2 linked regions of the Saccharomyces cerevisiae S288C genome follow. The gene in region 2 interacts genetically with the main gene of each other region. Each region holds a gene or a part of one and is shown on either strand. Other genes may lie near its edges.

Region 1 (3,758 bases), on a different chromosome or scaffold from region 2:
AAAAGAAAATTCTCAGATACAAGCTGAAACGTTCCTTTTACACAACCATGATGGAACTTGCATTGATTTTCTTTAGCCATATAATTATCGCATATATGTCATTCATAAAACGTTTATAAAACATTAGAATATTTGATATATTTGAATATTTGATAAAAAATTTGATAATTTTTGGGATTCCATTGTTGGTCAAAGCTATAAAATTATGTATGTACTAGAAGTTCTCCTCGAGGGTATAGAAATCCTTAAAATGGAATCGGTATCTTACCATAAATGTTCCACTAGAATGTCATCAGATGAAAAAGACGAAAGAAACATATGACTAGCTCGCGTGGCGTAATGGCAACGCGTCTGACTTCTAATCAGAAGATTATGGGTTCGACCCCCATCGTGAGTGTTTTTTAGTATTTTTTTTAAAAACAATTGTTCCTCTCTAAATTTTAATCAGTTTTTGATCATGAAGGGTTTTGTATGTAGCACATAAACATTTTTACTGAAAGAAAAGGATAGCCTAAATATTAGAATACAATAAAATTTTTTTGAGCCTAGTTTGACACATTTAAAACAGCATCCACACAGCCCCACCAGTTAGCACACTCAGTATGACTGCTGTGATGATAGCGGCACCAGCGCGATCACCTTTCTTAATGTTTAAATTGTTTTGTAGCACGTTAGTGGTCGATGAGTTCATACCGGCATTCGCGTCACCTTTTGACGTACCGCCATTATCTTCCTTATATGGAGCTGGCCTGTCATGAATTAAAAGATTTTGAATAACTTCTAGAGCACTCATTTGCTCACCTAATCCATAGTAGCCATCATTGGTTTGTTTCTGCCAATTTAAACCACATGTATGCCCATCTGTACCACCATTACATGATTTTGCAGCGGCCTCAGCACTTGTTTTTATCAAATCATCAATTGTGTCCCTAGTAAAGGGAGCCATGACACTTGTAAGACCAAGCATACGAGAAAAAATACTTTTGAATGTTCTTTGATCGGTGTTACAGGTGCCATAGTCTTGACAAGCGCTTTCGTACATAATACTATCTTTGAAGAAATAAGATTTAGCACCATTTAGAATTTTTGTCAAACTGGTCTCCCATTCACCTGTTCCATTTGTAGCATTATACATGTATGCAAGACCACCAAGCACGATACCGTGATTATAAGTCCATTCAATTTTTGTAATATCAGTGCAATTTGTATCAATTTCAGCACCATCAAAGACATTTGCAGTATCGTTAAGAACCACATACCCGACATCCACTAGCCAGTCGAAAACCTGTTCAGCAACCTCCAAATATGTAGTGTTACCAGTATATCTGCCCAACCTCGCCGCAATCTGGAACAAACATGCATTTGAAACTGTATTTTTATAATTATAACCACTATTCCAAGTGAAAATTTGCCATCTCAGACCACCGCCACAGTGCTCTGAATCCCATCTTGAGTACATGGTGTTGAAAACAGCTTGTACCATTGCCAACCAACCTGGCTTGCCGTCACCGGGGTCTGTAAAATTTCTCTCGACAGCACCCATAACAGTAATACCCCAAATACCTTGGTCATCATTCCCCTCAACCATCGTTTGGTTGGACGGGATATAATCGTAATTGGAACCAGTTTGCGCTAATAGTGCATCGTATAGTAATTCTTGATATGTATCATTCTCACAAAGAAACCAATTTTCCAACATGCCACCAAATGCTTCCCCTGCATGCCACCAATAGTATGGTGACTGAAACATCCCAACGGTACCACCGTATCTAGTACCCTCATAGTAATCCAGCATACCACCTTGAATTAACGCTGTCGCATCACAAATTGACGTTTTGCTAGTAGTATCCAAATCCATGGCATGAGTGGCTTTAAAAAATGACAGAAACGTAAAGCATATCGATAAGATCATCTTCGCACTAATATTGACGATCATATCTGCGTTCTGGATATGATTTCGTTCTAATTTGTTCGTCCTATATAACAACCAAAAATTAATAAAGGTGATTCAAAATGAGATAAAGGACAATGTACACAGTCAATTACTTAATTAGATATTTGAGTAAAGCTGATCTTTTGGAGAAATGGGCTTTTCATTAATTTACATTCTATTTTTGGGTTATACTCAGTTTCGCTTTACGCGGATTACATTGTTTTTTTTTCGGGCGTGGCTCAGATTGTGAAAAAGAAATTAAACAATTTAAGATTACGGTTATCGCATTAGAGGCAGAATAACTTGAAAATGGGAAATTCCCCAAGAAGGTGACCTATACATGACAATGCCAGGATATCATACATAAAATACATAACCCGTTTCTTGTTAATTGATTTCTTTCACCTTTTTATTGATTGTATTCATCTTTTTCTAATTATCGAAAGTGTCATTCGTGAAATTCTTCAGAAAATTTAGAATGTTATCGTCAATCAATTGGGCTACTGGGTCAGAAAATCTAGAGGCAATTTCATTATGTACTTTAGTAATGCCCATATCTTGTACTGCAACACTCAGAGCATCTATTAATATTATTGAGAACTCGATGTACCAACGATGATTCCAGCAACAAATCTTGACTACTAGATCGATGATTGAGCTGTCGATGTCATTGATACTTGACAATATTTGAGAAGAGGTTAACTCGGAGTTTGCTGAGACTGAATCCCTCCTAATACGCTTATGCTCGTCAATGTAAAACTGTAATAGATTCTTTGCGCATACTGGAGAAAATCTTTGGGAAAGCCCAATTTGGAAAGCCTTCGCAGCTTCTGGAAGATGTCCCAGTCTTTTCGCACAAAGGCCGAATAATTCCCATTCAACAGTTAATTTGTGATATTTACTGTTTTGAGCATCAAAATACAATTGCTCTGATTGCCAATCGGTGTAAGTTTTCAAATCTTCGTATAGTAACATGAAGAGATTATCCAACCATCTTTCGCATAGCCTCTTTGATCTCATTTTGGATATATCATTACCGCGAACTTCTGCTTCATCAATGGAAGAAGTGGAGCCTTGGTACTCGTCTTCCATAACGAAAATTTTTGATCTATATTTCAACAGCTGCTCCCATCCTGTTATTTGGACAATTTCTGTCAATAATTTATAGGCTAGTTGGAAAGTAGACTTTAAACTTGACGCAGAGAGATTGACTAGGTTTGGATCTGCGGACTTTTGCTCCAACTGGACATCCATGGGGTTCAATGACGAAATCTCCTCAATTGAGGCATCCAATGGTAATGGCAGATGAAGATTTTCATCTGAAGTAATAGGCGCAATTCTTCTAAGAACGTATTTTTCCTTAACCTGTGACATGGGGCAGGCGTTTAACGATAGCAAGGCATTTGACATATCGTTTAGTTTAATGTATATTCTAGTCAATAAATACCAAGTTTTAAATTCGTTTGGTGCACAGTTAACAGCCTCCATGGCTACTTCCTTAGCAAGCTTGTAATCTCTCTTGACATCCAGTAAGAATTCACTTTGAATACTTAATAATTCGGATTTGAAGATTAGCTGGATATGGCTAGTCTTTGAATCGTCGGCTAAGAACGAAGAGGGGGAATTTAGTTGCTCGTTGATCAGGTCAACTGCATCTATCTCTAAATCGCACGCAAAATAAACACGAATTAATATTATTACTGCTTCTGGATGAATTTCTATTAACTTCTTGAGCATTTTACGACATGCTTCCAAACTCTTAGTTAACCTAACTATTTCCACTAAAGTTTCCACTAAATAATTATTGGTTAACGAGGGATTTAAA
Region 2 (3,758 bases):
TTATCAACCACTAAGCAAGAAGAGGAGAGCAGTAGTAACGGACTGGAGACACCCGAAATGTTGCAAGGATTAACAACATTCAACCTAGGAACATCCAACAAACAGAAGCTGGCCAAAGATCAAGTCGCATTGCCTTTTCTGGAGGCACAAAGCTTTGGACAAGGGGGTGCTATTGTTTATGAGTACGAAAAGGATGACGATTATGATGAAGAGGATCCATATGAGGATCCCTTTTAAAAAGTAGAAACTGATGGTAAATAGTGAGTGCTTCCAGATTATGTAAACTACGTATACTTCATACACATATCTAGATGCTAGATTGTTAGTCTGTTTTAGTCTTTTTTTTCCCTAGGAACTTTTCCTTTAGCTTTAGCAATTTGTATTTTAAGCCAGATTGCAACGTAATCTTATCGGCCTCTTCGACGGTGACCATTCTCTTCACCATCAAATTGTATAGCATACCGAATATGAGTCCCATGATTGTAGATGTTAGAATGATGACGTTATACGGCATACTAAAATCCGGTGTAGACAGGGATAACAATAGGGTAGAGGTTCTCATTTCATAAAGAGACGATGAGGACTCCAAAGATAGCACGGTGATTACAGCTGCATCGATTTCAAAACCATGGTTTGCATCTGGTGGATACTCGGCAAATTGCAGAAGAGCTTTATCGAATTGATAAGTCATTACAATGTCCGTATTAGCTGGAATTAACATCGTGAACTCCAAGTGGCCAGGTCTTTTTCTATCGGCCGCTTGTAAATAGTATTTATCTAAGATGATATCGTTTTCTTGCAATTGCGGAGAGGTAGTAGAAGTAATTTGAAGAGAGGATAGGTAAACTCTCATGAACCATGGCAATGATTCGAAATAAATCAACTTCACAGGGGTATCATTGTCGTTATGGAAAACAATACGCATTCCACCACGATCTTGTCCATTACCAGTCAGAGATCTGCTTACGTGAATTGGGACAGGAACTATGGGAGTAACTTTAGTAGTGTCCGTCGATTCTAAAATAAAGTCGTAGCCCGAACCACCCTCATTTTGATCGTTTGATAAGTCAAAGCAATTATCATGTGTGCTGAAAATAGTATCGTCAACTGACAAAAACGCAGTCCAGGTAGAACGGTCAACTTCTGCACAAATTCTTGTGGGCCTATTAGCAAACAGGTTGCCATTGTTTATTGGTCTGGCAAACAGCTGAGACAGCTTGAAGTGAGTCTGCGAAGGTTCCGGTAGAGGGAAGCATTGGTAAGAATCAAAGGGTTTATCCGTGTCACAACGCAATGTGTTCCCATCCAAAGGTTTGGGGATAGGTCTCTCACCTCTTGCCAAGGCGGAGGGAACGTGTGTTACCATTTCTATGCGTGCGTCCATCTCGTAGTGACAAAGAGCATCTTCATCTTCAGAACAAATAGTGGCAATATCCAAGGAAATACTATTCCATAGAGAGTCGAACAATTTATGACCATCCAAGAGAGATGTCAAACCGGATTTGCCCCTAGTAGGCAATAGTTTTATGAACGGCGTCAAGTTCTCGGTACAGATGGGTTCATTGGGCAACGATGCTCGCATCAGGTACAGTTTCTCGGTGCTATTGAAAAGAGGAGCTCCTATATCAGAAGCATATGACCGCCGGGGAAAGGTCGTCCTTGACTCGTCGATAAAATTTAAAGAAGAACAAAACAATCCGCTCAATGAATTGGACAGTTTTTTCCAATTATGGAACGCCTGTTCCTGATCCATGGCCTGCACTTGCGACCACAATTCCACACCTGAGGCACCTGCCTCTTTTCCAGCATGTGGCAACTGTCCCCACGACAGGGCATCCCAGAATCCTCTGGTAAATCTTAAATGAAACTGACGCGTGGCAGTAGATTCCAACAATGGTGGGATGGCCCGTGGGAAAGTCGTGTAGTGCTCATACGCATCATATGACATGGATGATACGGCCGGGTCAAACGGTTCCGATTGCAGTTGGAATGCAAATGAGAGTAGCAGATCATTGTTGGGCAGCGGCTTCAACACCAGTGCTTCGTCGTACGGATACCATAAACTGTCATTTATACCAATCTGCGACACCGTGTCTTCTGCGAACACACCCAGTAGTAGAGTGCCCAGCATGAAATAGGCCAGTGTGAGGATCATCGTCGTCTTGCCTATGCTTTGTTTGCTTTGAACACTTGTTTCCGCTCTCCTTTTACTTATTGGCTACTAAAACTACGTGTAAAAGATCGCCCAGCGCAAAAAGGTCCGGCGGTTTCAAATAATCTCGAACTATTCCTATAATATGCAAAATAGTAGGTAGGAACAAGTCGACTCTAGGCAGATAAGGAAGATGTCCGGTAAATGGAGACTAGTGCTGACCGGGATAGGCAATCCAGAGCCTCAGTACGCTGGTACCCGTCACAATGTAGGGCTATATATGCTGGAGCTGCTACGAAAGCGGCTTGGTCTGCAGGGGAGAACTTATTCCCCTGTGCCTAATACGGGCGGCAAAGTGCATTATATAGAAGACGAACATTGTACGATACTAAGATCGGATGGCCAGTACATGAATCTAAGTGGAGAACAGGTGTGCAAGGTCTGGGCCCGGTACGCCAAGTACCAAGCCCGACACGTAGTTATTCATGACGAGTTAAGTGTGGCGTGTGGAAAAGTGCAGCTCAGAGCCCCCAGCACCAGTATTAGAGGTCATAATGGGCTGCGAAGCCTGCTAAAATGCAGTGGAGGCCGTGTACCCTTTGCCAAATTGGCTATTGGAATCGGCAGAGAACCTGGGTCCCGTTCTAGAGACCCTGCGAGCGTGTCCCGGTGGGTTCTGGGAGCTCTAACTCCGCAGGAACTACAAACCTTGCTTACACAGAGTGAACCTGCTGCCTGGCGTGCTCTGACTCAGTACATTTCATAGCCCATCTTCAACAACAATACCGACTTACCATCCTATTTGCTTTGCCCTTTTTCTTTTCCACTGCACTTTGCATCGGAAGGCGTTATCGGTTTTGGGTTTAGTGCCTAAACGAGCAGCGAGAACACGACCACGGGCTATATAAATGGAAAGTTAGGACAGGGGCAAAGAATAAGAGCACAGAAGAAGAGAAAAGACGAAGAGCAGAAGCGGAAAACGTATACACGTCACATATCACACACACACAATGGGAAAGCTATTACAATTGGCATTGCATCCGGTCGAGATGAAGGCAGCTTTGAAGCTGAAGTTTTGCAGAACACCGCTATTCTCCATCTATGATCAGTCCACGTCTCCATATCTCTTGCACTGTTTCGAACTGTTGAACTTGACCTCCAGATCGTTTGCTGCTGTGATCAGAGAGCTGCATCCAGAATTGAGAAACTGTGTTACTCTCTTTTATTTGATTTTAAGGGCTTTGGATACCATCGAAGACGATATGTCCATCGAACACGATTTGAAAATTGACTTGTTGCGTCACTTCCACGAGAAATTGTTGTTAACTAAATGGAGTTTCGACGGAAATGCCCCCGATGTGAAGGACAGAGCCGTTTTGACAGATTTCGAATCGATTCTTATTGAATTCCACAAATTGAAACCAGAATATCAAGAAGTCATCAAGGAGATCACCGAGAAAATGGGTAATGGTATGGCCGACTACATCTTAGATGAAAATTACAACTTGAATGGGTTGCAAACCGTCCACGACTACGACGTGTACTGTCACTACGTAGCTGGTTTGGTCGGTGATGGTTTGACCCGTTTGATTGTCATTGCCAAGTT

What was found. A genetic interaction does not mean that the proteins touch.
Region 1: mutations in GPI16 (region 2) and DFG5 together harm fitness more than expected from each alone (negative genetic interaction), as found in Saccharomyces cerevisiae (2 studies listed by BioGRID).

Annotation. Positions count from the first base shown.
Region 1 is NC_001145.3:744,531-748,288, reverse strand, and holds DFG5 (putative mannan endo-1,6-alpha-mannosidase), read right to left. Parts: upstream 1,937-3,758; coding exon 560-1,936; downstream 1-559. Other genes in the region: RNT1 (ribonuclease III), read left to right, coding at 1-27; BCH1 (exomer complex subunit), read right to left, coding at 2,366-3,758. UniProt on the Saccharomyces cerevisiae protein: Required for normal synthesis of the cell wall.
Region 2 is NC_001140.6:481,683-485,440, forward strand, and holds GPI16 (GPI-anchor transamidase subunit GPI16), read right to left. Parts: upstream 2,156-3,758; coding exon 323-2,155; downstream 1-322. Other genes in the region: Elongator subunit IKI1, read left to right, coding at 1-237; PTH1 (aminoacyl-tRNA hydrolase), read left to right, coding at 2,346-2,918; ERG9 (bifunctional farnesyl-diphosphate farnesyltransferase/squalene synthase), read left to right, coding at 3,163-3,758. UniProt on the Saccharomyces cerevisiae protein: Component of the GPI transamidase complex. Involved in transfer of GPI to proteins.